Linked DNA regions of Lonchura striata. The protein of the gene in region 4 purifies or fractionates together with the protein of the main gene of each other region. This does not show direct contact. Links are inferred from orthologs where the notes say so. Each region holds a gene or a part of one and is shown on either strand. Other genes may lie near its edges.

Region 1 (7,725 bases), on a different chromosome or scaffold from region 4:
TTTGTTGCTGTTGTTTTGTTGCTGGTTGTTTTTGTTTTGTTTTGTTTTTTTTCAGTGCTTGTACAGGACCTCCATGTCCCGAAGATCGGCGATATGTATTTTTTTCCTTTCCCACTACAACTCTTCATCTTTCTCTCTTCATCGCCACCCGCCGCACCCGACGAACGAGGACGCATATCCTCTGTTCTGCAACGGGAATAATGAAGGAAAAAAAAAAAAAAAAGAATAAAAAGACCGGGGAAAGCGATTAGAAAACATCGACAAGAAACGCGATCCGCGGTGCAACCGGTTCAAACCGACACCGCATCCCCAGGGCGGCGGGCCCGGCCCGGGCGGGGCCCCTGCCGCCCCCCCGCGCCGGCCGTGCTCTCGCACCGCTGCCAGCGGCCCCGAGCCTCCATCCCTCGGCGGGGAACGCGGAGGGACCCCTCCCGAGCCCCCACCCCTAAAAGCGGGCGGGAGTGGCGGCATTCGCACGGCCGCGCTCGGCCACGGCTCACCCCAGCGGGACTAATTTGTTGCAACTTCTGCTTTACAGCTTAGTATCTCTCTGCACAATCACAAATCGTTTTATTGTAAACCTCATTCCTAACCTCGGCTCCCAAACCGCCAGCGCAACTTTTACCAACTCTCCCCGCACCAGCCCTCGCCTCAAAACAAAAAGGGGGTAGGGGAAAGAAAAAAAAAAAAAAAAAACCTGCACAACCCAGCCTCCCATTAACCCACTCCCTTCTCTCCCTTCTCCCTGCCAGCCTCTAAAACCAAACCAAAACAACACAAGAAAAACGGGCGGGGGGGGGGGGGGGGGGGGGGAGGAGGGGGGGGGCGGGAACCCCATACCAAACACAACAACCTTGCATTGCTCGGATTTTGAGAAAGTGCCCGGATTCCCCTTAAACCAAACTTCTTGACTTATTTCTCCCGCAGTGCGAGGTGGCCGCGACATGCGACGGTAAGGCTGACACTGGAGGTGAAAACGCCCCAGGAGCAGGGAACAGGGGAAGTCCCCCGAAATCCGCTGGCATCTGACAGCATGCACCAGCCGCGCTTCCAACTCCACCCCTGCATCCGCACGGTCCTTGGGAAAGGGCCCTCCTTGGCCCCGGTGCCCATCCCGCAGGAAGGCAGGGGCAGTACCACCGCAGCCCCTGCCCCAGCCCCCTGACGCTGCCGAACCCAGGCTGGGCTTCGCTCCTTGTTTTGTTCTTTTCAAGCCCTGCACCTCCCACTCCCCACCCTCCAACACACACCCACTGCCGAGTGCTCGGGGTAAGCCACCCTTCCTCGAAGAAAACACCCCTCGGCGAGCCCACAGGGGCTCGAAGCCCCCTCCCCACCCCTTTAGAGATGCGGGATAGACACTCGGTCACTCCTTCTTTCCCTTACTTGCATCCTAATGCCAAATCCTAAAGGGAACTGACCTAAACGCTTTACGTTTGATGTCTTCCCGGGCTTGATTTCTTGGGTGTTTGCTCCACTGAATTGGCACTGGGAGAGTCTTCTGAAACCTCTTCTTCTGTTGTATTGGCTCTTTTATTTTGAGGAGAGGAATCTAGGAGGTGAAAATTAAAAACGAAGGGGTCGGGGGGGGGGGGGGGGGGGGAAGAAAGATATTAAAATATTTTCCTTCCAGATGTTTGCTTGGCATCCAGGGGGGGATAGATGGAGCCGAGGGGGAATATTCCCAGATCCCCATGTCAGGTATCAGCTGCGTGAGACGAACAGGGGGTGGGGAGATGGGCTTCTCCCTAGGCAGGAGACCCAAGTTCCCTCTTTTCGGCTAAAATCCATATTCGTCTTTTGCTGAACGCTGTGAACCTCCTCCCACCTGGGCAGGAGCCCGGGTCCCCGCAGTGGAACAGCGAGGGGTTGGGGAATCTGACCCGCGTCTAAGGGCTCGTCCTTGCAAATCATCTACCGGCTCCCACTCTAGGCGGGACCCCCGGGACTGCCAACACTACCCGGGCTTTTTTAGGGGGAAAGGGGCGGGGGTGGTGGGCACACCGAGCCGGTGCCACGCGTGGCAGGGGCGGAAGGGCTGGAGCGCCGGCGCTGACACGAGTGGGACGCGGGGCAGAGCCGTGGGGTACGTTACCATCGGCTGCGGGTCTTTTCCTCTGGGCAGTGCACTGCTCTGCTAAGTCCGTCTGATTTTCTGAAACATCAGTCTTTTGAGCTACACAGTGAGTGTCCTCTGAGATTCCCTGAGAACCGACAAAAACCACGGTTTGGCAATTCCCGTTTACATCCAAGCTCTGGCGGCCGGCGGACTTGCAGACGGCTTTCCGTAGCCGGGGGGGTCTGAAGTAGAAGTCGGGCGAGCTCCCCTTCTCCACGGCTTGCCACTCGTACCTGCCTTCCAGCGGCCTGTGATTCTGGAAATCGAAATTCCACTTCCTCTGGTACATCTCCTCCATCTCCTGCAGGTGTTTCTTAAATTCCCTGTTGAGCTCTTCGTGGTTCACCGGCCCGAAGAGGTTCCGGCACGCTGACGGCTTCGGGTACTCCGACTGCCTGGCCTCCATGCGCTCCAGGGTAGGGCTCCCATTAGAAATGCGGACGTTTGACATCTCCCCGCACGCTGTAGCTCCAGGCGGCGGTTGTTGTTCTCGCTGCTCTCTCTCCGCGGCCTCCGCCGCCCTTTATTTCCCGGCGCCCGGCGACGCCGTTCCGCGCCTCCGCTCCGCGCTGCCCCGCGCTGCGGCCCTGCCTCGGCCCCGCTCGCCTTCGGTCCGCGGAGAAGGGGCGAGGAGGCGCCCTTGCATAAGCACCGGCCCGGGGATGAGCCCCGAGAGCCGCCGCTGCCGCCGCCGGGAAGCCCCGGGCGGGTGAGGAGCGGAGCTCAGCGCTGCCCCCCCGGTGCCGGCCCACCGCCGATGGCGATGGCGCTGGTGCCGATGATGCCCCTGCCGATCGCACCGCCGCCGCGTAGTAAAAGCGAGACGGAAAAAAACAAGAGACGAGCCCTTTTCTTGGTTGCCCAATATGGCGATTGAAGGGAGGCTGACGAAGAAGAAAATGATTGACAGGACGAGTCTATTTAAACAGCCCGGCTGAGCCATTGGTTACAGCGGCGGGCACCGCCCCGTCCTCCCGGTCCTGCCCCGCCGCCGCCGCCGGCTCTAAAGGTGGGACGGGGAGAGCTGGGAGCGAAGGGAAAACGAGAGGGGTGGGACGACACTGTCGAACCTGTTCTTATCCCTCTGTAAAGCCCGCAAAACCCGACGGGATTTGTGCCACCCCACAAAAACACGCACCCCATTCCGCTGCTGGCCCGAATGCCTGAGGAATAGTGACGGCTGGTTTTGAGTCAGAGCAGTGACAGCAGAGGCTCACCGCGCTGGTTTGGCCGGGCTGGGCTCTGGCGACACGTCCCCGATGAGGTCGGGGGCTGGGGGCAAGCTCGGGGCTAGTGGGCAGGTTGACCACCCCACGGCATGCCGCGGGGACCAGCACCCTGATCCGCAGCATCCTGAGCGCACTGCCTGCGGAGATGGGCTGATGGCTCCTAGTGTCAAGGCGATCATCTCCTGCCCTCTCGGCAGAGAGAGGACTAGATTAAGAAATGTCTCTAAAATAACATCTGCCGGGATTTCAGATGTCAGCTACTCAGGGAAAGAAAAAAAATATAGCATTGGGGTTTGTCCTGTTTGTGTGATCAAAAGATCAGATGAGCAAAAAGTCATAGCCAGGGATTTTCTAAGCAATTTCCTCGTATAGTTAAGAGCAGGTGTAGTGGACATAAGAGCAATTGTGCACTCCTCTCTGGCCCCCTTTTCTCCAGCCCTTTTCCACAGCCATCTTCACTCACCAGTCAGGGAAGGCCCCCAGAGTGTTGTGTGACACTGCAGGATCTCTCAGGCACTAAAGGTTGTGACATTTCCAGGTGTCCAGATCTGGTGACTGAATCTTTGGCAGGCCCTGAAGGCTCTTCACACCAATCCATCTGGACATGTCTCTTGCAAGCAGAGCAAATCTATCCAAACTTCACTGTGGGAGGGTGAGGGGGATACACAAGTATCTCAACAGGGCAGGGGTCTATATAATTTGGTTTAACTGGTTGAGATGAGAGTCAGCAGGTTTGGCCTTGAAAATGTGGAGATTTTACACACTGGAGAGAGGACACAGCAGGAGGACACATGGGAGAAAGGACACAGCAGGAGGACACATTGAAGAGAGGACACAACAGTGGACTTCACACGGTGCTCAAACCCAGGCCAGCACTTTGCTGGCCATCATCAGTCCTCCTCCAGGCCTCCAGCTTATGCTCACACCACTCAGCAGAGTACCATCAGACCCAAGTTCAAAAAAATTATGTGTACAGGCAAAAAAAAAAAAAAAAAAAAAAAAAAAAAAAAAAACCAAAACAAAACAAATTAGATTAGTTTAAAAACCACAAGGTTGAAATACATTATTAGCCACATTATTTTTATTTATATGCTGGGGATTTTAATACTTGGAAGTTGTTTTTAACTGCTCTCAGAAATTACAAGTTTCAGCAATTCACTTGTAAAAAATTATAGCTAATATTCACATGTCTGCAGGACCTGAGATTATTTTTCAAGTTGCAAGTCCATGATAAAACTCCATCAGCTGGAAAAAAGTGGGCCTGCATCTGCTGTATTTGCAGGATTTCATCTTCATTTCTCTAGGTTTTCCTGTCTTTGACTTCCATTGTCAACAGCAAGAACACTCCATTTCAAGCTTCATTTTCTCTGTCAGGTGTAGGGACACTGAGCTTGTTTTGTTGATCCACACAAGAAAGTTGTGACTAAGTGATCTGCAGAAAGTGTCCAAGGATGCCTAGGGCTCATCCTGTCGATGGGGGCTTCCCTGCTGGTAACCTACTGAGTGTCCCACCTGAGATTCCTTAGGTGAGGGGTTCCCATTCTCCACTCTCTGGGAGTCTCTGCTTGTCTCCCTAATCCACAAGGGAAAGGCAGCCCTCTTGACTGTAGGATTATGACAGTTGTACCAGAGTATAAACACAAACTAGGAAAAAGAAAAAAAATGTGGGGAGTATGGGTTTCCAAATAGTGGAAAAGACTCTGTACCCGAGTAAAGCAGCAGAAACATGACAGCAGTGCAACAGAGAGAACTGATTTATCTGAAGCCTTTGGAAAAAAAAAATAAAATAATAAAAAAAAAAAAGTCACTGTAGGACAAAAACCTTCTGGGTTTTGTTGTTGTTGTTGTTGTTCTGTTTATATTTTCTTTAGCACAAGGGCCTGAAACTGAGTCCCTGGATGATGTACAAGTATATTGAGCACGAATAATTAAATCCAAAGGGGCGGAGGGGGGGGGTGGGGCGGGGGGAGAGAAGAGGGGCGCGAATAATTTAAGCCGTTGATGGAAGCAACGGAGAAAATGAATGAGAAATGGTCTGCCCCTCGGTTTATCCCTCTGTCCCTTCTCCTCTATCACCCTGCCTCGCTGTCAGAGGGACTGGGGAGAGGGAAAGGGGAGAGGGTGTACCCCCGAAGCTGCGGTAGCTGCGCGTCTTTCTGGGGACAGCACAACCCCCAGCCCGTGCCGCCGGAAACGTTAGGGTCGCGCTGGGACAAATCAACAAGAAAGGGGGTAAAATTAAGGAGGAAAAAAAAAAAAAAAAGTCAGAGTCTCTCCCCCGTGGCGGGAGCATCCGCATCCCCGGAGTATCGGCGGCCGTGCTCTGGGATCGGGGTTGGTTCCCGCCGTTCTTTCGGCTCTCGCGGCTCGTCCCCCCACCTCTTCCATGCGAGCTCGGATATCCACCTTAAATCGCTGCGGCTGCAGAGGAGGAAAGAAAAAAAAAAAAAAACCCAAAAAACAAAAAACAAACAAAAACAAACAAAAAAATACAAAAACCGAAAAAAAAAAAAAAAAGAAAAAATAAAAAAGAACGCTGTGTCTGCAGCGACCTTGCCATGATCTAAAGTGTTTTGTTTACAGTCAGCACCTCCAATGGCTGCAGCAAATCGGGACAGAGGCAGGCGCCCGCCCGTAGTAGCAGTGAAACGTGGAAAAAAAAAATACAGGAAAAAATATACTCGAAAGTCCCGGAGTGAAGCTGTGGAAAGATCAGAGCGCCATCGTCTTGTTAAAGAGGGGTACAGCAGTGGGGCTGCGGGGGAGGCGGTGCGGGGTGGGGACGGGGGCCAGGGCTGAGCCTCCCGCAGAGCTCCAGCCTCCACAGCCGGCTCTGCCCCCTCCGGGGCCGGTTCAGCCAGTCAAAGACCGGAGGAGAGCATTAGAGAAAAAAAGGAAACCAAACAACAGCACGAAACTTGGAGGAGTGAAGCAGGGAGGAGGGAGGAGTGTTTGTAGGAAGGTCTGGGTGGCTGTTCTAACAGGCTCTGTACACCCTATCCCCTCTCTTCCCACTACCCCTCTCCTCGCTCTTGTTTGGGTTTTTCCACTGGCAGAGCTGCTCGCTGTTTCTCTTTCCACCAGAATCGCTTAGGCAAGCCTCCCGTCTTCTTTTTGGCCACCCGCCTTCCCCAACACTTCATAAAGCTGTCCCGTGATCCAGCAAAGCCCATCCAAACTGCACACACAAAGTATCTAGGTTGCTTGGGATTTTATATATTCCCTTGCAAATAGGGGGAAAATTGGGAATCATACCTGAGCTCCTCCACCAGGATGTGTCCTCCAGAGTCGAGGATGAAAAAAGCAGAGATATTGCATGACCCATCTGGAGGTTTGCTCCTAACCCACCTCAGCTATTACTAAGCCACAGCTACTTCCCCGCCTCTCCAGGTTTACACCAAGTGCTGATTCCTTCAGGAGATGTGGGGTGAGCCTGCCATGAGATTTGGGGTGCAGGCCCCAAGTATTCACCATATAATATTCACTTAACAGGAGCCCTTTCCTTCTAGGCAGGATTAGGACCCGGTGAGGTTCAGCAGCAGAGACTGTCAGGAAGGAAGGAACCACTTCAGTGTACAAAGGCTCTGGGACATGATCCAGCAGTGACCAGGAGCAGAGCACTCCCTAGGGGGGCAAGGAAACACTACCCTCCTGTTCAAGTGGCATTTGAGACCTTCTGCTCATTTGCTGTAAACTCTAGAGGGAGCCTAAGGACAGAGATCAGGCCAGCGCCAGGACCTGACCTTGCTGTTGGCAGCGTCCCCAGTGCTGTCCCTGGGCAAGTCCCATTCCCATCCCTGCTGCTGGCACTTCTGCGGGCTCTGCTCCCGCTCCCCTCTTGGCAGGTGGGGCCAGGGGTGCCCAGGGGTCCCGGACCTGCCAACACCTGCAGCAGCCTTGGGTGGGCTCAGATGCCAGGACCAGCCCAGGGGATTTTGAGTCCTTGTGGTGGTGTTCCTGCAGGTACAGCTTGGGAGTGTCCTTAATGGGATTTGGGTTGTCCTTAGGGGGATTTGAGGGTGTCCTTAATGGGATTTGTTTTTAAAGTCAGGTGCTGTGTCAGAAATGCCTCTTCTGTGCTATAACGATAGGGTAGGTTACACAGTTATGTCTGCAGAAGATACAGGTTAAATTACTAGCACTGAAAGTATTCATTCCAAAGAGAGATCTCATTCTTCAAAGAGAGAGCTTTCTGCAGCTCTCTGCTTGTCACCAACTCCCCCTGACTTGCTAAAGAAGGAGTCCTTCTGAAATACCCTGATTTTGTCTCAGGGAAGACTGGCTCAGACAATTTAATTTTTGTTTTTCATTTTGTTTGACGTGCAAAATAGGAGCAAGCTTGAACTGCCCCTGAAGCACAGGTGAAGCCAGGAGTGT
Region 2 (7,347 bases), on a different chromosome or scaffold from region 4:
CAGAGCAATGTAAAACTTCCTTGTGCTATGCCACGTTCCCCAAAGCCCCAGGACAAGCTCCCACACTTACGGCCTTCATTGTACAGGTACGCCAAGCTCAACTTCACAGCAGCTTCAAAGTTACCACTTTCAGCAGCCCTGAAGGGCAGACAGAGAAAGCACTGGAGGTTAAAATCCTTCCTAGCACCAGAATCTCCAGTTTGGTCCTTGTGCCCTCAAGGACATCCATCAAAACATCAAGCCCTTGTATTCCTCCCTCCCCAGCTGTTGTGCACATACTGGTCTGCCTCAAAAAGAAGTGACACTCAGAAGCAAAACCATTATCATGGCATTTAAACATGTTAAAGAAATCTCTGACACCAATGGATCCCCTTCAAAACAGATGGATAAAAAGATGTTCCTCATATTTTTAAAGCAGATTTATTGTTGCTGTTTCAAACTTTGTTACTGAAATTCACTTGTTTTTCAATACACTGGTTTGCACAAGAAGTGACCAAGCCAACTTAGACTTAGAAACAGGATTATTTTCTAGAACCCCTGACCCCACACGTTCATTCACATGGGAGCACCAGAAAGTGGTTTTAAGGAATGTGTTACATTCCAATCTGGAATATTAATGCCTGTGAAGACAACTTTGGTATATGCAATAGGCCCTGCTCTGGTTAAAGAGACAGCAGTGATCAGCTGTAGCTTAGATCTCAAATCACATGTTTTTTCATTTCCAAAGCAAATATTTCCCCTCTTTGTACAACTCAGATCCCCCAATTACACTGAGGACTGATTAGAACAGTTAATCTTCCTTCAAACGTCCTCTTCTAAAAGGCCAGACAAATTTGATGTTTGACACTTACCTTTCAAACATCCTCAGATGGTTTGGAGATGGCCACAGGTCTTGGAAACTTGCATGTGCCCAAACACTGGAATGATTATCCACAAGGTATTTAAGATGTGAGTGCACCTGCAGGGAGGGAACACAAAATAATGATTAACAAAATAAAAGGAACAACAGAAAAACAGGTCTTTGCAATCTTATTTTAGAGAAGTAACTAATTCGTCACAAGTTATGTTTAACTTGTTGCCTGCCTCATAACCAGTAAGGCAAGAGATGCCAAACCAAACCCATTTGTTCAGCCACAGTAATCTGGCAGGACAATTACCACAGAAAAGGAACAAAAAGCAGTCAAATACTGCTGCTACTCTTAACTTGAGCAGTGAGAAATGAAAGTCCCTGGGACAGCAAAAATCTCAACCTTGCAGGCACTCTTTGGGTTTCTTCAGGCTCTGTGACATGAGAAGCCTGTTCTGTGTGCAGTCCAGGCTCCTGGAGGCAGAGCTGAGCACTGAGCCTGGCAGAGGGGAAGCTGCAGCACTTACAGCTCTGACTGAGAGGATGTCTGCAGCAGGGAGGCCCTTCAGGATGTGAAACAGAACATCCTCGGGGAGGTTCAAGAATGTCAGGACTCGAGGCCGTTTTATTACCCTTCTCTTTGAAGGGAAAGAAAAACATCTGGAACATCTACAGTGAACCACTGGAAAAGAGAAACACAGGACACCTCAGTTAGTGAGAGCATAAAGGCAAAAAGGTACTACATAGTATTACATATATACACAGGTGTTCACTTGAGCACCTCTTCACTGCAGTGCAGGACACTGCAAACACATTAACCAGGGATATATACCTCATACCTCATTATGCCACAGAGCAGAAAGGGCTTGTTCAAATTGGTTAATGAAGCCAAGAGACTCAGAAGGGGTGGCTCAAGCTCAAGTGCTCTTCACCAAGAGCCCCTCTGAGCCCTGACTCCTGTGACCGTGTTTAGTAGCAGCAAACAGTTCAGCTGTCCCTGTTCAGTAGTAACAAATAGTTTAGCTGACACTACTGTCAATGCATTTACCTCCCCCATGCCCCAACTTTTCCTTCTCAACTGACAGCAGTCTCTGGAACACAACCAGAGATATTAGGAAGACAACCAAACCTACTCAAGCCTATCTTTCCAAGCAGTTGCTACCAGGGGTGCTAATGGAAGACCCATTGCCTATATCTTCTGGAATATTATTTCAGTGCAATATTTATAGAAATACACACAAACACACATATATATGTATACAAAATGTACTATCCTCAGCAGTATTATTGCCATGAAAATGAAATAGACACCCAAACTGGGATGCCAGTTCAGCCTATATGAGCATCCAAATAGGGACCAGGGTGTAGATGAGCAACTCAGTGAAAACTCCATTTCTATAGACAGTATGTGGCACAGGTTGATTTCAAATATGTTGCTTCACGAAACCAGAGCGGTTTAGGCTGCAAGAGAGAACTCTGGGTGTCACCCAGTTCAGCTGTCCCGCCAAGTGGGGCAGGACCACATCCAGGTAGGTTTGAGCAACTCCAAGGATGTGGATCCCACAATTGCTCTGGCCAATCAATTACCATAGTTCAGGCATTCTTACAGTAAAAAAACACTTTCTCTGCCTCTTGAATGGGGCTTCCTGCACAGTCCTGCGCACGCTGCAAACTCACAGACGCCCGAGATGTTATCCCACGCGCAATACACATCTTGACCCCTTGGCTTTGAGGGCAGGCGCGCTTAGGCACAGCCGCCAGGCACAGCCACGGACGCCGTGGTCGCGGAAGGGCTGAGGCACGGCCCCGGCGGGGAGCACCGCACGGGCAGAGCCGGTCCCGAGCACCCACCGGGCCGGGCCGGGCCGGGCCGGACCGGGCCGGGCCGCCCCCGCCGCGTTTGAATTTGGGCGCGAAGCCGTTGGCCCGGCTCCAAAGCCCACTGCCGGTCCTTTAGCCCAGGCTCGGAGTATTCCGGTAACCCCCGCCCTCAGATCCCTCAGGAGGCGCCCGGCAGGCAGAACCCGCTCTGGAGCCGCCCCTCAGCGCAGGAAGGCCCGGGAAACAGCAGCACCCGCGGAGGCCGCGGGCAGAGCCGCACTCACCGCCCGCCTTCATCGTGGCGTGTCCGCGGGGACCGCGCGGACGGACACAGCGCCCTGCCCGGCTCGGAGAGAGCGGCCCGGGCGTAGGAGGGACCGGAGAGCCGCGGGCGGGCGGGGCCCGCGGGGCTGGCACGCCCCGCTCGCGGCGCGGGCGCGCCCAGTGGGCGCCGGGAGCGGCGGGAGCCCCGCCCGCCAGGCCCGCCCGCCGCGCCACCACCCCGCCCACCGCCCGCGCGCACTTGTTTTAAACACAGCAGCCTCTCTCATTGGCCAGGAGGCCGATGGGGGCGGGGCCGTTCCCGCCCCGCGCGCTGTGATTGGTCGGCGAGGATGCGAATTCGAATCGGGGCAGTTGGCGGTTCAAACCTGTGGCGCAGCAGCGCATGCGCGGGCGGCACGGCGCCCCCTGTCGTGCGGGGCGGTGCAGTGGGGCGGGGCCGCGGCGCTTCCCTCACGGGGCTGCCGCTGCGCTCCCGCAGTCTCGTTACGCCGGGCCGGCGGCGGCTGTGGGGCACGGCGGCGGCCCCGGCTCCCCCCGGGGACCAGGAGTCTCTTCTCTCTCAGCCGTCCCTGCTGGTGCTTTGTCGCTCACAGTCACCTACACTTAGCCGAGGCTGCCTCGCCAAGGGAGCTGTTGAGGGGAGCAGTGGGGGCTTATTACTGCCTAATGATTTCCACCTTGAACATGCAGCGCCTGAGGGTGTCCGTGCTGGAGCTAAAGCATCGCGGAGGTGGTTGCGTGTCCCAGGCCGGCCTGGGGTAACCTGCCGGACAGCAGCTCTGCAGAGAAGGCTCTGGGGGTCACAACTGTCCCTGACCAGCCTTGTGTCCTGGGGCCAAGGTGGGGGATCCCGGGCTGGGAAGGGCACTGCCAGCAGGTCCGGGATGGGGTCCTGCCCACCTCTTCAGCCCTGCTGAGGCTCATCTGGAATGCTGTGTCCAGTTCTGGGCTCCTCAGGACAGGATGGACATGAAGATCCTGGAGTGAGTGTAGAACCATAGAATGAAAGGGACCTGAAGAACCATCCAGTTCCACTCCCTGCCATGGGCAGGGATGCCTTCCACTATCTCAGGTTGTTCCAACCCCTGTCCAGACTGGACTTGAACACTTGGAGAGATGGGGTGGCCACAGCTTTTCTGGGCAGCCTGTGCCAGGGCTCATCTTGACAGCCAAGAATTTCTTCCTAATCAGCTAACCTTATCAGTGTGAAGCCATCCCCTCTTGTCCTCTCTTTCCAGGCCTGTGTCCCAGATACCTCTCCAATTGTCTTGAAGGCCCCTTAAATACTGGAAGGGGCTCTAAGGTCTCCCTGGAGCCTTCTCCAGGCTGAACACCCCCAGCTCTCCCAGCCTGGCTCCAGAGCAAGAGGGTTCCAGCTCTTGCAGCATCTCCATTGCTTCCTATGGACCTGCTCCAGCAGGTCCACAGAGGGAAGGTGATAAAGGGACTGGAGCATCTCCCTGCTGAGGAAAGGCTGAGGGAGCTGGGGCTGTTCGGCCTCAAGAGGACACACAGCTGAGAGTGGCCCTCATCTATATCTGTCAGTGTCTGCAGGGAGAGGTCAGAGCATAAGAGGGGGGTCCAGCACAAAAGGCAATGGGCAAAAAGTAAAGTACAGGATATTCCACCTGAACATGAGAAAGAACTTTTCTGTGCATGTGACTGAGCACTAAAGAGACTCCCCAGAGAGGGGGTGGACTCTCCCTCGGTGGAGATAATCAAAACCCACCTGGACACGATCCTATGTCATGGGACCCTTCTTGAGCAGGGAGGTGGGACCATTTGATCCACTGTGGTCTTTTACAGCCTGAACCATTCCATGATTCCTGCTGGGGGAAGGAGCCAGGGTCTGCCTGGACAGAGTCTGTTTCTGATGTCCTGAGCTGCAACCTTGCCCCATCCCTTCCCAGCACACCTCTGTTCCTGGCCTTCTGTGGGGGTGAGGGGGAATTAGGCAAACAATTGGGAATCGAAGTTCAAACCTCAGTACGGGATTCAGAGGAAAGGCAAAGGGCAGAGTGGGACAAGGAGGTGTATTGAAAAGACTGGCAGGCAAACAAAACAATGTAGGGAAAAGCAGATATCGAGTTAGTTCGGCTGAAGACTTTTCTGAATTTTAAGACTCATAAGACTTAAAAGCAGTGAGAAGAGGAGCTCTTGTTTTATAGAACAGGAAATGTCTGCACCCCAATTACTGGTGGCTGGAAACTTTCCCAGCATTGTACCTTGAATAAACATCATCAGTCCCGGCAGAGCTGAGGTTTCTTCATGCTAGCGTGTATGAGATTTGTTTGAAGATTTTACCAGCACTTCTCATTGTTAGAACATGAACTTCTGAATGCTTCTCTGCACCCGCACCCTTTCACCTGCGAGGGGTTGGAATAGCTTTGAAATCTCAATAGAGATCTCATTTTATGGTTGGGGAGGCTGAGCTTGAGTAGCCTGATGGCTTCTCTGAGCCCACCCCACAGCGCTGGCCACGCTGGACCTTTCACCTCCTGCACTGTCCCCCAGTCCCATGAGGTGACCCCTGAGGGAGGAGCAACTGTGGACAGTCTTTCTCCTGTGCAGCCCCACCTCCACTTCCATCTGTGAAACTGTGTCATGTTCCTGGGAGCGCAGCAGCTGCCAGCATGGCAAACTGACACCAGGAGCACAGGGAATATTTAGATTCTTTTAATTGAGAAGCAATTTTGAGTTAAAAAGTTAATCATGCTGTCAGCTTCTGTTCCTCATTTTTTCTCCCCCTCACAGCTGTTTCTGTCAACTAAAAATAAATTGAACCAGCAAACAAAATGTGAATAATCAGCTGCCTACAGAGATTTCAGATCCCAGCAAGAGATCCCAGCTCCTTGGGTGATCTGCAGTGCAGAGTCATCTCAGGTAGATCCCATTCTTCCCAAACATGACAGCAGAAGAGGAAGGCAGGGCATGGAGAGGGTTATATTTGAGGGACAGGAATAACCAAAACTTAAGTGGGCACTGGGAGGTGGGAGGTGAGATTCTCAGCAGCAGTACATCTTGGCCTGATTTGTTCTTTCCTGAATAGGATGGCAGGACCTCCAGGTGGTTTTATCACTGACAGACAAGCCGGAGCAGAGGCTGACGGGTGTGAAGTGGGACTTGTGTTACCTGAACACAGCCATCTGACTCCGCTGAGCCTGTGCCTTGTAACCCCTGCTCAGAGGCGGCAGGCAGGGCAGGAGCGGGACCTGCACATTCACCAACGCGCAGCCAGTGCTGGGTGGGATACGCCATCCTAAACACACCTGCACCAATTGGGAAGCCTCTACACATCGAAGAGTCAGTCACTACAGAGGAGAAGGCAGATTTGTGCATGTTTTAATCTGTATTGCCAAGTCTTGAGCTGGATTTCAGTTTAGAGAGGGACTTTTCACAACGGGGAAAGGCCTTAAGCCATTCTTAAGCCTTGTCCTATCACTGTCCTTATCACACACCTGTGAGGGTGCCGAGGCCTGTTGCTGTCGAGGCAGGACGGGAATGAAGAACTCTGACTCAGAAGGCTGTTGAGAGTAATACTCTGATTTATTCAAAATACACCGCTCTTTTATACAGAGCTTCCCAAGGACCAAATCCATTGGTTCTGAAGTGAAAACAACCCACCACCATTGGTGCAGAGTGCTTGACACACAGTGATAGAACTTAACTATAAACAATGTGAAAAACAAGAGAGATAAAGAATTACTTACATTCTTTCCCAGCATTTTCCCAGGCTTTTTGCCTGGCTAGAAACTCTCCATTTCTTTCTTTGACTGAATCTGAGACCCACAGAGGCCCTGGCACAGGTTGCCCAGAGCAGCTGTGGCTGCCCCATCCCTGGCAGTGTTCAAGGCCAGCTTGAAGAGATCTTGGGGCCACCTGGGATAGTGGAAGGTGTCCCTACCCATGAAATGGGATGAGCTTTAAGGTCCCTTCAACCCAAACCATTCTGGGATTCAATGATTTCCTATATATGCCTTTTCCTCCACTGAAGAGCCTGCAGAGTGTTGTGTTTCTCCTCAATCCAAATGGCTCCTCATTTCCTTCTCTTCTGCTAGCTCTGGAACTGAAGGTAAATACAACAAAGACATTTTATTTGCCTTGATTGCTGTGATTAAGCAAAACTCAACACAGGTGTAACACTTACTCATGGTTCTGCCAAACCTGGGATTCTCTGGGGGCAAGAGTTGTTACCAGCTCCAGTTTCACTCAAGGTGTTGATCCCTCTTCTGAAGAGATCCAAGGGCCTGAGACCATGGAATCTAAGCAAGACATCCAACAGCAATATTCTCCTAGGAAAACTGAAAATTTGTTCAAAATATCTCTTAGCCAGGAAATATCAGCTCCACTTTCACAAATCCATGTGAGAAAGATGTTCATTGCTACACACATCA
Region 3 (7,159 bases), on a different chromosome or scaffold from region 4:
GAAAAGAAAAACTTACCTCTGGCAAAGTAATCCACCTTCTGCAAACAAGGGGCAATAATCGGGGCTTAAACTACCTCCCCGCAGCTCTGCGAGCGCGCCTGAGACCAACAGCTACGGGAAGCTTTACAAGCCGGGGGGTGGGCGCATGTCGGGGAGCAACGCGCTTTGCGCAACGTGCAGGGCTCATACCTGTAGCGCACAGAGCCACAAAAGTCTGAGCATGTTTACGGATGATCTGCTTGGTGTCCTCTGCCAGAGGCATTTTAGTAAGAAAATGTTCAATGAAATCGTGGGGGGTCATTGCAGCCAGATTCCATTTCAGCTTATTCACCAGCAGCAGCTCCATTTGCTGCAAAGAGAAGAGGGACGGGAAGGGGGAAGGAGAGAAGAGGAAGAAGTGGGGGGAGCGTGATTAGAGCGCTGTCCCGCTGCCGGGGCGGGGTGCGCGGGTCCCCCCGCGCCGGCACCGGGCCGGGGCAGCGCCCGCCGGGCCCGGCAGGGGGAGCCCGCGGGCCGCCCAGCGCCGCGGGCCGGGGGGGTCCCGGTGCTGCTCCCGATCCCATCCCGGCCCCATCCCTGCCTGCCGCCAGCTTCCGAACGCGCCGTTTGGTTTTTGTTTTTTGGTTTTTTTTTTTTTTTTTCCTTTCCCTGTAGCTCTGTATATCTATATTTTAATATTTATTTCGATTTTTTTTTTTTTTAAATTCCTGAAGTGATCGAACGTGAAATTACCAGTAATTCGTCGGGTCTAATGGAGTTATCTGTATAAATGCACAGTTTTTCTGCGGTGAGAGGAATAGTTTCCTTCATTTTTGAAGCCACAAACATGCAGGTAGCTCCGAGCAATTGCAATCGGCTTTTCTTGAGGGGTTCGAACGACAAAAATCTGTCCAAATAATTCATAGCCAAGGGGAAAACTTCCTCTTCGCACTTCTGCTCCTCGCAAACCTGCAAGAAGGAGAGAGATCGTTGAAGAATAATTTAACTGAGGCGAAAGCCAGGCTTGTCCCGCTGCTCTCGCCCTCCCTCCTCCCTCACCACCAGGCTTTGCAGGGCAAGGTTGAAGGAGACAAGGGGGAAACGCATTTGGGAAAAAAATACATAAATATGGGGAAAGTAGCGTCATCAAAGAAAATGAAAGTCACGAGTGACAAAGTGGGGGGAAATGTTGCGTTAGAAACCCGCAGGTGATTCATGGCAAAAGGGGAGGGGGGTTATCGAAGAAGAGGTCTGCGCCCAGTTTTCCAGCCCTTAAGAACAAATTTTTAAAAAGGGAAGAAGACGGAAATCGGGGGAAAACGCTAACCCCCGTGGTTGGTAACGGGGTGCAGATCCGGGCTGGGCCCCGGATTTATTAATTTCGCTTTTATTTTTTCATCTAATTTGCCGTTGTGCTCCCGATTCCCCTCTCCGGTCGAGACACAAAGGTGGCGTCCAGCCTCATTTCCCCAGACGTCATCTTTTCAAAAAATATTTAAAAATATTTAAAAAATAATTCGAGCTCTCAAAAAAGGCTGAAAATGCAGCAGCGGGGGTCCTTTACCGAGGCCCGTGGCTCTGGTCCTGCTGGGGGGCTACAGGGGGATCCCCCGAAGTGAAATCCACCGCCTCCCTCTCTCGCCCTGCAGCACAGCCCGGCGCGACATTTCCCCAGAGCAAGGCAGGGCGCTGCGGTTTCAAAAATTAATTAAAAATACATCACGGGCACCCAGGGCTTCCGAAAAGGCATGAAAATGTAGCCCAGCTCCTGGGGCTCCCTCTGGGAGCCCCCTCGGACGTGTCCCGCCAGGGACGAGGCCCTTTCAAACTGGCTTTTCCCAGGCGACCTTGCCGATCGCTGCCGCAGCACAAGCGTGCCTTTGAGGGGTGACCGCAGCTCCAGCCTCTCTTCGCGTTGAACAAAGGAACTTTCACCCTGCAACTCCCCCCAGAAGCGCAGGAGCCCCTCCAGCCGGTCCCCCTGCCCGCAGCCCCAGCGGGGTCCCCCGGCCCCCGACCTTCCTCCCCCGGCGCCTTCCCCCGCTCCCCCCCGCCACACACACACCCTTGGCTCTGCTCCCCGGGACTTTCTTCGTTTTTCTCCCGATTAATAAACACTTTTCTTTGCAAATAAAAAGAACAAAGATGGCGCATAATACTGGCACGGGCAGCCGCTTGCATACGTGTACAGGGATATTAATTTAAAATAAAATCCCCAGAAAACACGAGCTGGCAGGGGCTGGCGGCGGCCCCGCGCGGCCGGGGATCGGCGGCCGGGCCGGAGCCGCTCCCCGCCGGGCCAGGGCAGCCCCGAGCCGGCCCTGCCCCGGCTCCCCTCGCTGGCACCGCCGATCCCCGACGGCCGGAAAGGCTGCCGGGCACCCCCCGACTCCCGGGGGCACCGGGGTGTGTGGGGGGGGAGGGCTCGTCCGCCGCCCCTCGGCGCCGGGACCGGCTGCGGCAGCGGGGACACCGAGCCGGCCACCGCCGCCTCGTTCCACGAGGGCATGCAACGTGTGCCGCGCCGGGGAAGCGACCCCGGGGAAAGGGAGTGGGGGCAGGCGACGGGGCAGCGGCTCCCCGGATTAATTCGTTTCGGTGCCGGAGCTTGCAAGGAAAAGTTCCCGAAAAGATACAAACCTCCAGCATCCAAGTGGCAACTATTTTCCGCATATATGGCAAGATTTCTTTCTGCACGCACTTGAAGTAGGAGACGGAGGGCGAGCAGGTCTCCTCCGCCTTCAGCATTGTCTGCAGCACCCTGTCATTGAGGAGGCTGGCATCCAGGTAGGCTCGTCGGATGGTCTCCACCTCGCAGCACAGCAGCTGATGTTCCATGTCTGCCTTCGTCGCCTCGAGTCAGTTCTCTGCAGCAGGACTGAGTCAGTCGCTCGCTCGCTCGCTCTCTCTCTTCCCCTTCCAGGAGTCCCTTGGATGCTGCTTCTGCTACTGCCGCTACAGCCCTCTGGAGGCTGCAAAACTTTCTAACTTCCAACAAAACTCTCCTGGTGTAGTCCCTGTGACGTTACTGTTGTTAAGCAGAGATCAAAGCACGAGAGAGAATGAGAAAGAGAGAGAGAGCCAAAAGCAAGGGGCAGAGCCCTAAAGCCATCCCATAGGCTTCAAGTCCTTCCCCTTTGCTTAACTTATAGAGAGCAGGGTTTTAATGCAAATGAGACAAGGGCTCGCTTTCTTCAAGGGCAAGGGAGAAGTGGGGGAAACCCAAATTGTCTCTTCAGTGGATCATGCATAATTTTAAAAATGGAGCGAGTTTTGCACTGGGAGCCAAATGATGAATGGGGCTAAGGCCACACACAGACACCAGGGAGAGAAATGCAAGGAGACTTCGTATTATTTTACAGGGGCGCCAGGGAGGGGAGTGGAGCAGAACCAGCGCCTCGCTGTTTGCTATCATTATTATTATTATTATTATTATTATTATTATTATTATTAATTATTAATCGTGCTGTCACTGGCATGTAGCTGCCACGCTGTCCTTTAAAAAGGCGCACTCCCAACCTGAATGCCTACTCTTTGTAGCTGATTCCAAGGGAAAGCCTTTCTCCTATTTCCTCAGTCCTGTATTTTCCCAGCCAGGATGGTTTTACTGCACACCAAATTTTTTAAAACAATTGAGGTGTCCACCCCTCTGCCAAGATGGTTATTTTACAACCTCTTTTTTTTTTTTTTTTTTTTTTTTTTTTTTTAAGGTCTTTCCTTTCACTTTAAAGGTTTTGCCTTCCCAGAGGGGCATGGAGATGGCAGGGGACGGGGCGAGAACTAATCCGAGGTGCAGCCGGTGGCAGAGCACACCGGGGAAGGCCACGCTCGCACCTCACCCCCACTGTTCACCTCCACCCAGGGAAAATATCCCAGCGGAGCAGCAAAATGGAGGCCAGGGCTCCCTCCAGCACCTCTGGGGAGATGAGCTGGTGGGCTGGGAGGGAGGTGCTGGCAGCCGCCAGAGCCTGCAGGGGCCTCATCCGTGTCTACAGGACATTCTGTCCACACGTGGAGGGGCCCCACCATAAATAACGCCCGCTGCCCGGCCGAGCCTGCTGTACCTGAGGACGCTCTGCTTCCCACTGTTTGTTAAAAAAGGGCATCTCTGAAAGCCTCACTTTCCCAGGAGTTGACAGCACAACTCGAGGCCCACTGGGGAGCACTGGAGGTGAGGCTGATGCATGGGAGAAGTGACTTGTCCTGCCCCAAAGTGGCATAGGGAGAAGCAGGAAGGCTGTAAATTGGGGTGCACGGATTAACCTCAGCCTTGATGCTTTGGCATCACCCGGGTGTCAAATACCTGCCCGGGGTACAACGCTGACGGCAGAAACTGCAGATGGTGGCTAGCCATGGAGGACCCAGCATCTCTCCTGCGTGACCTGCAGGGAGAGCAGTGCCAAAGATCACAGGGCATGTTGTTGCACAGTTGTGTGTTTATGTAATCTCTTTGCATGGACCGTCTGCCCATTTTCTCATTTACTCGTTTGCTTGACCATTTGTCTCCATTTTGTCTCCGTCTGTCAGGAGGAGGAGGAGGATGGCGGAGGCCCCGCGCTCTCAGTTCCCCTTGCACGCCACAGCCCATGGGGAGACTCCGGAGGGTCCCTCAGCGAGGAAGCTGTCCCCTGTCCCTCCGCCTGTCTATTGTGCTTCACGCACAGGACGCCCACTTCTGTTTCCACAAGTTTAGCTGGCCGGAAAGGTTTTAATATCAAATGAAGAAGCACGCACGACCCCGCGCTGTCGGGTGGGAATTGGATGCACATCCGGGGGGACCCTATTTAATTAACAACCCTGCACCCCCAACACCTTTCTGGTGAGCAGCTGGTTTGGCGAGCCCTTGGGGCAGCCGGCCGCATTCCATTGGACCGTGCCAGCTCTTTCCTTCCGAACATTTGCTCCCGGCCGCGCCGCCGAGCCACGCGGGTCCCTCTCTCTGCGCGGCGCAGCCTCGCCATCCTGCCGGTGGCCGCCGGTCGGAGCGGGCTCTCCGAGGTGCCTGTCCCCGCTCGGAGCACGCGGCCGCCGCTCCATTCATAAAAGCAGCGCGGCGGGACGCGGGGCCGCGCGGCGGGCGGGCGGTGCCGGCGGCGGGCGGGGCTGGCGCGGGGCCCGGGGAGCCCCCGCGGGGCGGCGCGGCCGCAGGAAGCGTCGGCGCGGGAGCCAATGGCGGCGCGGGGCTGTTACCGGGCGGGACGGGCAGATCTAGGCCGGGGCTCGCCCGGTCCCGCCGACACAAAGGGGACGGGGCGGGTGGCAGCGCCGGAGCCGCCGCCGGGCCGCCCCCGCTCGCTCCGACGGCGGCAGCGGGCGGTCCCCGAGCCACCGAGACCGCGCCGCCTTGCCCGCACCGGAGCCTCGGGGTGCGCTCCCCAGCCGCCCATCCTTGGATGCGGGATGCGTGCTGCGGCCGCTTCCGCCACTCTCGCCCCCGGGGGCTTCCGACGGCGCTTCCTTCCTGCCCGCTCTCCCTCCCTCGCTCCCGCTCGCTGCCTGCCCGGCGCTCCCCTCCCCGCGGCGCCCGCCCGCTGCCGGCGGCGCCGAGGCCGGGCCGCCACTTTCTCATGATGTCATCCCGCCCCCGCCGCTGCGCGCCGCCGCGCCGCGCGGCCCCGCCGCGGGAGCGCGCATTCCTGGCGTGCCGGTGCTCGCCGTAATGTCGCGAAGAGCAGCGCAGCGGAAGAGAACGTCTTCCCCCCCACACACCCACCCCAGAAAAAAACCCACTCCTGCTCCGGACTCCTCTGGACAAGGAAGAGAAGGAGCTGCTGGAGCGGGTCAGGCAGACGATGACAGGTGTGGAGCAGCTCTCCTGAGAGGAGAGACTGAGGGAGCTGGGGAACACTGCGAGGGCATCTCATCAATGCTTATAAAAACCTCCAAGGGGTGCCGAGAGGAAGGTGTCAGACTCTTCAGTGGGTGCCCAGCAACGGGATGAGGAGCAGTGGCCGTAAACACAAAGCACAAGGATTGTCACCTCAAGGGCAGGGACACACGGAGGGTGGCAGAGCTCTGGAACAGCTGCCCAAGGGGGGCGTGGGGTCTCTCTGAGACATCCCAAACCCACCTGGAGGCATTCACCTGCGGTGCCCAAAACCCCAGGGCAGCCGTGGGGGGCTGGTGAAATGAGGAATTTGATGGAGCAAAGCTCACAGAGGGTTTCTGTAGGGGAACCATCACCAAGCTGGGGAGAGGCATGAGCCTGGGTGGGAGGGAAGGTAGGGATGGCTGGGGGGTCCCAAGATGATGAGCTGTTACTGATGGGACCAAAAAAGCAGGGCCAGACCCAGAACTAATGGAATTCAGCCCAAGTTTATCCTGGGGGTAAGAAAACACAAAAAGCCTAAGTGCAGGGGAAAAAAGAAGCAGGGAGCAAGGTTTCATTTCTTCATGGAGGAAAACTTCCTGTTAGGCCATGCCAGAAGTGAGCCAGTGCAGGGAGAGGTACCAGAGGAAGCCTGGCAGACAGTAACAAGGTGAATAAACAATGTATTTAAGCATCAGCATCCTTAAAGTGAAAGTGTTTTAGTGAAGAATATTTTGGTTTTGTACAGTTTCTGTTTTGCTCAGCTGACAGTATGTTTTGGTAATATACCAGCATGAAAATGGCCAGCACAGACACTGGGGTTTGATATGGATATGTGAGGTAGGAAAAAGCACATCTTGGCCACATAGAGCATTTACATTTTATTTACAACATAAAGAAACATTTTCTCTATTCCCCAAAATGGCACTCGCTCTTTGTCATCCAAAAGCCACATAAATAAATACCATTGGAAATGTGTTGTTGAATTGCTTATTCAGAAGGTTTTGAAGCACAATGTTATTATTTTCTTTAAAAAACAACTAAACAAAAAAGAAATGGCAACAAAAACACAGGGAGATGTTTTGTATCGATTTTGGGCGTAATGCCCCATAAATGTCAGTAAATCAGTATGGATCACATCCACTGCAGAAATGCTCTCAGAAAGGATGGTCTCTCATCCTTTCTGTTGAGTTAAAGTGAGGTGCTGTTGTTGGCAAGACTCTGGGAGCTGGGGTGTTGCTGTGGTCACCTGCAAGATGTTTGCAACCCTCAGACCATTCTGAGACACTCAGCCACTCTGCTCCTTCGTTGTAAAGTGGATTGGCACCTCTCTGAAGGACAAGTATGCATTCTATGAACCTTCAGTAAAAA
Region 4 (6,887 bases):
CTTCATCCTTATTGGAGTGTAAGGGTTCCTAAACCCAAACATACATACATTGAGACACTACCTGGCTGGAACCTAGCCAATTTTAAGGCACATTAAAGATCAAGTATTTTGCTGCATCAAAGAGCAAGCAAGTATATTGGGGGAAGACAGTGGCTGCAATCATTTTTACATGTCAAGCAGTCACTGAAGGAAATTTCACTCACAGCTCAGGTGTGCCAGCTATGACAGCATCAAAACACATCTAAATTCTTGCTACAGAACAGCAGGGAGAACATCAGAACACTTAAGTCAAATGGCCTATTCCAAGGTGATAAACTTCTGAGATGGCCTGAAGTAACAGCTACAGCCAGTTTTCATAAAGCATGCCTCCATTCTCACAATAATCTCTCTGAATTTACAGAAATTTCTAAATTAAGAAAAATTTGTTAGGTTCCTAGAATGAAAAGAGGCAGCATGAGGAAGGCTTAATTAGAAAACTGGCACAAACATGGAATTTAAAGTATTTGCTGCAAAGCAGACATTGCATTAAACAGAGAGGTTCTCACCTTACTAGATGAGTGGGAAAATAATTTATGATCTGATGGAACCTAGTGCTCCTCCAAGAGTTTAGCTAAATACCAGTATATGCATACCAGACTATATTGGGATGATTCAGCTCTTTTAATAAAGAAATTTCTCGGATAGCAGTACTTGGAACACCTTCCTCCTCACTTTCTAGACGTATTTTCTTCATTGCAACCACTTGGCCTGTGGTTTTGTGACGACCTTTATACACAACACCATAGGTACCTGAACAAAAAGACAGTGAAACAAATACAGGAAGGACCAGCTTCAGGTACACATAATATTGTAAACACGAGCTGCTAACATAGGAAAAGTCCTTACAAATGGAGTATTGGTTTAAATTACAAACTACTACTTAGCTGTGGAGTTTACCTGAGCAATATTTTTGTTTGTTTAAAGCATGCCACCCATGAAGTGTAGCATTTGTTAGGACAGGGCACTTAGAAGGCTAAGTGTGAAAGGCAAGTATTTGGAAGATGTAGTTATAAAATCAGATACTATTTGAGTTTCAAGTTGATTAACTTCCAGGCAAGATTATTATAAAGGATTATGATTTTGCCATTGATACATCATATTAAAATGCTAAAGGTTTAGCTGCACATGGAAGTAGTGTTCCTTCTGCAGTCTGAGATCCAGCCATCCATGGGTGTGAGCTGTAGAAATACCTCTGGCACAATGCTCAGTGCAGGAGAGGCTAGTGCTGTGGATCTCAGCAGAAGCTGAAATCGGAACCAAGAGTAAATCTCAAATCAATCCATCTTAATTATCAATGCTCAGAGAAGTAGAACCCTCAAACCAAGACAGCATAAGCCTTCTCTTTTTACCCTTCTTGAAACATTAATCCCTCACATGAAGCCCAAATTAGTTTATTTCAAAAAGATCTGTGCACAAGGCTTTGGATACAAAGCTTTGTTGCAAGATCCAAGCACACCTTATGCTGTTGCCTCAGAGTGGGCAATAGTACTTCAAATTTTCAAGTCTACATAAGGCCTTATACTGTGTATTATAAAACACACTGATTTCTACAGGGAACACAGGCTGGACTTCCAGTAACAGGGGGGTTGTGACTAACACCTGCATTGAGGCCATCTTCTCAGTACCTCAATGTGAAGTAAATGTTAAGAATTCACTTCTCCACAGAGTTTTGCTATCTTGCTTTCCTTTGACACCCACACTGCCCATATATCATCAGAGCAGAACAATCCAGAAAATAGTACTCCCTACCAGCAGCTCCAAGCAAAACAACACATTGCACAACTTCAGGGGCAGCTGCTAAGTTCACATTCAGAGAAATGGGGGAGCTTCCTAAACTGTAAGCTGGTTTCAGGACTCAGAACATACTTTTTCTCCCTTCTCCCCTTTGGAGATGACTAATATTACAGCATTAGCCAGCAAAACGAAGGCCGATATTTTTCAGCACTGATCAGCTGTTTTTACAAAGACCATGTCACTTTTACGAAAAAGGGCAGGCTGGAAGGTTTTACAGATATAGATAAGTACCACAGTAACTAAGCTACAAGCTTATTTAGCCACTTGGTTGAATCTCAGTGTTTCCTGTAACAGGCAGAGTGCACAGATGTTCTGGGACACTTCATAGCTCAAACTGTGGAGCATTTAAAAGCTCACTGCTCCCCATACTTACCTTCCCCAATCTTCTCTATTTTTGTGTAATCATCCATTGTTGTGGCTATCCCTGAAATGGACAGGAAAAAAGAGATAATGAGGGTGAACAGTTGCTGTCCTGAGCACAGACAGGTCACTGAACCTATGCCAAGTCTTTAGAAGCGAGTTGTGCCTCACAAAATTAGCTGCAATGTAAAACACTTAACTGTTCTCATCAACAAAAACACAGAGCATATTTATTCCGAATTCCACCTAGAAAAACTATACCGCAAGGTATGAGTGGGCAACGATTCCAAGGAGAAAAAAAAAAAATTTAAAAGCTTGGAAAAAAGCTCCTCCAGGAAACTGAAAAAAGCGGTTAGCTTTTACCTAACCACTGGCTCAAGAACAAGCTAGAAACAGACAGGATGGCCGCTGTGTCACCGGGTGTTGGCCGCGCCAGGAGACACCGGCCCGGAGCGCCACCGGCGTGCCGCGGACAGCGGGACCGGCACTCCGCTCCGGCTCGGGGGGCTGCGGACACCGAGCGGAGCCGAGTTACCTCCGGCCCCGGGGGCTGCCGGCTCCGTCCGCCGGCCGCGCTCGCTGCAGCCCAGCCCCCGCCCCGCTCCCGGCGGCCCAAGGCGCTGCCCCGCTCCCGGTCCGGCTCTCGGGGCAGGCCCGGGCGGCCGCGCTGCGCCCGGGGCTGGGCAGCGGCAGCGCGCACCGCCCGGCCCGGCCCGGCCCGCGCCAACGGCCCCGCCGCGCGCCCCTCACCTGCGGAGCCGCCGCACCCGCCGCCGCCGCACAGGCACGTCCGCAGCGCCGCGCGGGCCGGGGGCGGGGCCGCGCGCATTCGAACCGGCCGCTCGCCGCGCTCCGCCAATGGCGCCGCGCCGGGCCCGTTCAAAGCGGCCAATCAGCGCGCTCCGCGCCAAAGCGAGGCTCAAAGGGCGGCTTTCGCCTCCTCAGCGGGGGGAAATGATGGAGAAATGCCGCGCGGCCGGGCACGGCAAGGTGAGAGGGCACCGGACCGCCCCGTGGTTCGCGGACGGCGCGAGTGAGGACAGCCTGGCCGGGCGGGTCCGCGTAGCCCTGAGCCGGTGACAGGGGGCGCTGGGACTGCTCACGGTCCAGAGTCACGGAACGGGTCAGGCTGCAAGGGACACTCGTGGGTCACCTGGTCACACCTCTCTGCTCATGCAGGGCCGTCCCAGAGCACACGGCACAGGCTCCTGACGGTTCAGGAATATCTCCAGCGAGTAAGATTGCACATTCCCTGTGGGCAAGCTGCCCCAGTGCTCGGTCACCGCACAGTCAGGTTGTGCCTCGTGGCACTCCTGGGCATTAGCCCCTGCCCATTCCTCTGCTGCCATTGCTGCTCCCAAGGAGCGGCGCCTGGTCCCTGCAGCCAGGGACGGTGTTCCCTCCTGGGACACACACACAGGGACGGTGTTCCCTCCTGGGACACACACACAGAGGGACGGTGTTCCCTCCTGGGGCACACACAGGGATGATGTTCTCTCTCCGCTGTCTCTGCTCCAGGTTGGACAGCCCCAGCTGCTTTAGCCTTTCCTCCTCAGAGAGATGCTCCAGTTTCTTGACCAACTTTATGTCTCTTCACCGGACCCTGGGTACCTCTGGAATAACACTTTGGGCTTTGTTGGCATAGTCTGGGGAGTATAATCATGTTTGGACCAGGCTAGGTGTTGGCTGCAGCTTCTCCTTTTAATCAAGTCTGTTACATTTGGATGCTGCAGTTTCTCCTTTTAATCAAGTCTGTTAGATTTGGATCCCATGGCCAGCCAGACCATAAATTCATTATTTCTAGTTGCATGGGCACTGATCTGGGCAGTGCTGCTGTGGCCTTGGGAGCTGTTTTTAAGGCGTGTGCCTTAATGAAAGGTCATTGGGTAACTTAATTCCCCAGAAGCTGGGATGTGTGTCTGTAGGCAAGTTAAAGTTCTGCATCCCTCCTCCCAGATTAAGAAAGATTAGTTGCTGTGCTATCCCAGCTTCTGAAAGAAGGGTTGGGGATGTAATTGGAGAGGCACCTGTGGGCCTTGCTCAGTGAGCACTCTGCCAGCTGCAACCTTCCTCCACTGGTACCCAGGAAAGTGGTGCTACAGTATACGACTTAACAAAAAGCCTGGGAAAATATTACAAACAATTTTTTTTACTGAGAAACTGAAATGCTAAATAGATTAGCCAAGTTCACGTGTTTCTAGTTTTACAAGTCTTTCCCCTGCAGGACAGCTCCACTGTGGATTCTGGGGTGCTGCTGACCCACTCTAGCACCAATTTATCATCAGCACTGGCAGTCCTGGACCAACAGCTTCTGTGGAAACCTACAGTCCCTGCAGGGGGGAGACACAGGCACCTCTTCACACTGCTGATGTTACTGCCTTTTAAAATTACTTCATTGCACTGGTTTACAGCATTTTTGAAGGATGGCTTTGCTGCTTGTCTGAAATGTAAGCAGGGCAGGGCGCTGCAAACAAAAAGGTGCAGCTTCTCCCTTAAAGCATTTCTTTGGGATGGTGATTCCAGGAAGTAGGGCTATTTATGGTACACTTCCTTCTTCTCATCCCTACCCTGTGGCAAAGGCAGGAGGCAGCCCGTCCAACTCCTCCCTCTGAGTGTGTTTCAGGGGTAAAACCCCTCCACTTTCCCCTCCCTCCTGGGGAATTTTTGCAGCATATGGTGAGCATGCTCACGGCTCTCTGTTTACCTTGAATCCTGTATTCCCACCACTGGCTGGGGATTTACCTGCTTAGAACAAGGCTTTTGTATATCTGGGAAATTCCATACGGGAACATGGCTTGTGCAATCTTGTGCAATTCGTAGGAAAAAACCTGATGTGCTTTGCCCTGCACAGTGACAGAAGATTTCTACCCTGTGTGTGTAACAAGTCCAAAGCAGCCAGGGCAGTGTGGGCACAGCAGTGCCCATGGATCAGCTGCAGAGCTCAGACAGAATGTAGGACACATCCCTCAGGCCTGGCTCTGCACCTCTGGGGAGTTGTTTTCTATTGTCAGCACAGGACTGAGCTACTGCTGCTGGACCAATCCTTGTCTAGGGACGTTAGGTAGGTTGCCAAAGTCCAACTTTCCCTTTAGAGGAAAAGAAAACATTTCTCGGAAGTCACAGACATATGGTAACCCTAGTTATTTACAGGGGTTGTTGGTGGTATAATAATCATACAGTACTATAAATTATTATAAGTTATATGAAAATATAGAGAGATTTTATATAAAATATACTGTGTCTGAAAGTACTGAATACACTGATCTGAATTTTCTTGAAAGCGAGGTCTTTTTTTCTAGCTTTAGTTTAAATATACACAAGAATTTCTTAGCTTATTTTTTAGAAATATAAATTTCTTAGTGTCCTTCCAGCTGGGCACTAACTGTTCATTCTCAGAGTGCTCGCTGAATTTTCAAACTCTTTGAGAATATGCCTTTTTCCATACATCCCATTGTGTCATGGGCTCTGAGTGGGAAAGACCAGGAGGCACCAGAAAGAAAGCTGGTTAAAGAGCAGCTCTCTTGTGAAGGAACCCCACTTGTTTCACATGTGAGGGGACTTCTCCATGAGCCAGCTGCACACAGCACTGTGATCTCTTTGAGGCCGTTGGTCATCCCCTTGGTCACCACCTAGGATGACAAGTTTAGGCTTTTCTGAGACCTTTAGGAAAGTTCTGGAAGGTGGATGGCTTTGAGATCCCTCTGACAGCTGTTGCACTCAAACCCGAAATCACTGCTCCTGCCTTTGTGTCAGCCTCGGGGCCCAGGCTGTGCTGGCTTAATCAGGTAAGCAGCTCAGGGACATTGTTTTGTTGTGGTCTCCACGTTGGTGTGCTGGTGGCCATGCCAACCCCTCAGAGCAGTGGAGGGTGCAGCTGTGTGTGCTGGTTTCCTCCAGCAGCAGCAGAGGCTGCCTTTCCCTCTGCCTCTGGCCCTCCCTTAGAGCTGCCTTGCTTAGGAGCCAAATGCATGTAAGTATAGACTCGACACGGCATTAACTTGTCAAACATCTGTCTGACACTTACCTTGTGTTTTCCTCCCTCTTGTTGTCTGTGTAGTGCTTATCTCGGTTGATCATTGCTTTGGACATGGCAGGAGCTAATGATGCTGCTTGAGACAAGCGGTACAAGTACGTTTGCAGGGACTTCTGTGTTTGAAGGGATTTACTGTTCTGCTTGAAGGAGCAGCAGCAGTGAGCCTGCTGAAAACTGAGTCACGCATGCATGTGGGAATCCCTAGGACTGCTGCTCCCCTTCACAGCAAAACACGGTGAAATGCAGAGCTGAGGGAAAACTCCAAGGCAAACAGCAAAAGAATCGTGACACCACCATGTTAATTACATTTTATTTATATAAATGACAAAGGGGCACATATATGAAAACCTCTTTGGCATCCCAGACTTCCCTTTGCCTGAAGTGCAGCGCTGTTTGTGCAAGGCACACGGGATCAGGCCGACAATGCCGAGCTGGGATTATGGCATTACAGTTGTATTCACGGCTGAGAACCCAGTGTAATGCTCTGAACAGCTCCTTCTCTGCTGGGCAGAGGGCAGCTGCAAGAGTCAATATCATCTTGTCTTCCATATATTAATTATATTCTCCTCAGCAATAACTTCACTGTAAGGAAGAGAAAAAGTGTTTTCTGTCTTTTACATAATGATGGGATTAAAAAGGTCAACTGGTTTGTGAATACTAA

What was found.
Region 1: the proteins of CDK1 (region 4) and CDKN1B purify together in Homo sapiens (affinity purification with mass spectrometry; 8 studies listed by BioGRID and IntAct, counting the BioPlex papers as one, with this or other methods). This does not show direct contact. The link is inferred for Lonchura striata from reciprocal best matches to the Homo sapiens genes CDK1 and CDKN1B.
Region 2: the proteins of CDK1 (region 4) and CCNF purify together in Homo sapiens (affinity purification with mass spectrometry; 3 studies listed by BioGRID, with this or other methods). This does not show direct contact. The link is inferred for Lonchura striata from reciprocal best matches to the Homo sapiens genes CDK1 and CCNF.
Region 3: the proteins of CDK1 (region 4) and CCND1 purify together in Homo sapiens (affinity purification with mass spectrometry; 4 studies listed by BioGRID and IntAct, counting the BioPlex papers as one, with this or other methods). This does not show direct contact. The link is inferred for Lonchura striata from reciprocal best matches to the Homo sapiens genes CDK1 and CCND1.

Annotation. Positions count from the first base shown.
Region 1 is NC_134607.1:10,525,113-10,532,837, reverse strand, and holds the start of CDKN1B (cyclin-dependent kinase inhibitor 1B), read right to left. Parts: upstream 3,013-7,725; 5' UTR 2,571-3,012; coding exon 2,096-2,570; intron 1,553-2,095; coding exon 1,431-1,552; 3' UTR 1,422-1,430; intron 187-1,421; 3' UTR 1-186. UniProt on the Homo sapiens protein: Important regulator of cell cycle progression. Inhibits the kinase activity of CDK2 bound to cyclin A, but has little inhibitory activity on CDK2 bound to SPDYA. Involved in G1 arrest. Potent inhibitor of cyclin E- and cyclin A-CDK2 complexes.
Region 2 is NC_134618.1:2,545,270-2,552,616, reverse strand, and holds the start of CCNF (cyclin-F), read right to left. Parts: upstream 3,019-7,347; 5' UTR 2,966-3,018; coding exon 2,953-2,965; intron 1,530-2,952; coding exon 1,375-1,529; intron 959-1,374; coding exon 852-958; intron 139-851; coding exon 71-138; intron 1-70. UniProt on the Homo sapiens protein: Substrate recognition component of a SCF (SKP1-CUL1-F-box protein) E3 ubiquitin-protein ligase complex which mediates the ubiquitination and subsequent proteasomal degradation of target proteins.
Region 3 is NC_134608.1:55,237,853-55,245,011, forward strand, and holds the start of CCND1 (G1/S-specific cyclin-D1), read right to left. Parts: upstream 3,006-7,159; 5' UTR 2,818-3,005; coding exon 2,620-2,817; intron 949-2,619; coding exon 733-948; intron 350-732; coding exon 190-349; intron 1-189. UniProt on the Homo sapiens protein: Regulatory component of the cyclin D1-CDK4 (DC) complex that phosphorylates and inhibits members of the retinoblastoma (RB) protein family including RB1 and regulates the cell-cycle during G(1)/S transition.
Region 4 is NC_134609.1:3,788,050-3,794,936, forward strand, and holds the start of CDK1 (cyclin-dependent kinase 1), read right to left. Parts: upstream 3,003-6,887; 5' UTR 2,944-3,002; intron 2,258-2,943; 5' UTR 2,244-2,257; coding exon 2,207-2,243; intron 790-2,206; coding exon 633-789; intron 1-632. UniProt on the Homo sapiens protein: Plays a key role in the control of the eukaryotic cell cycle by modulating the centrosome cycle as well as mitotic onset; promotes G2-M transition via association with multiple interphase cyclins.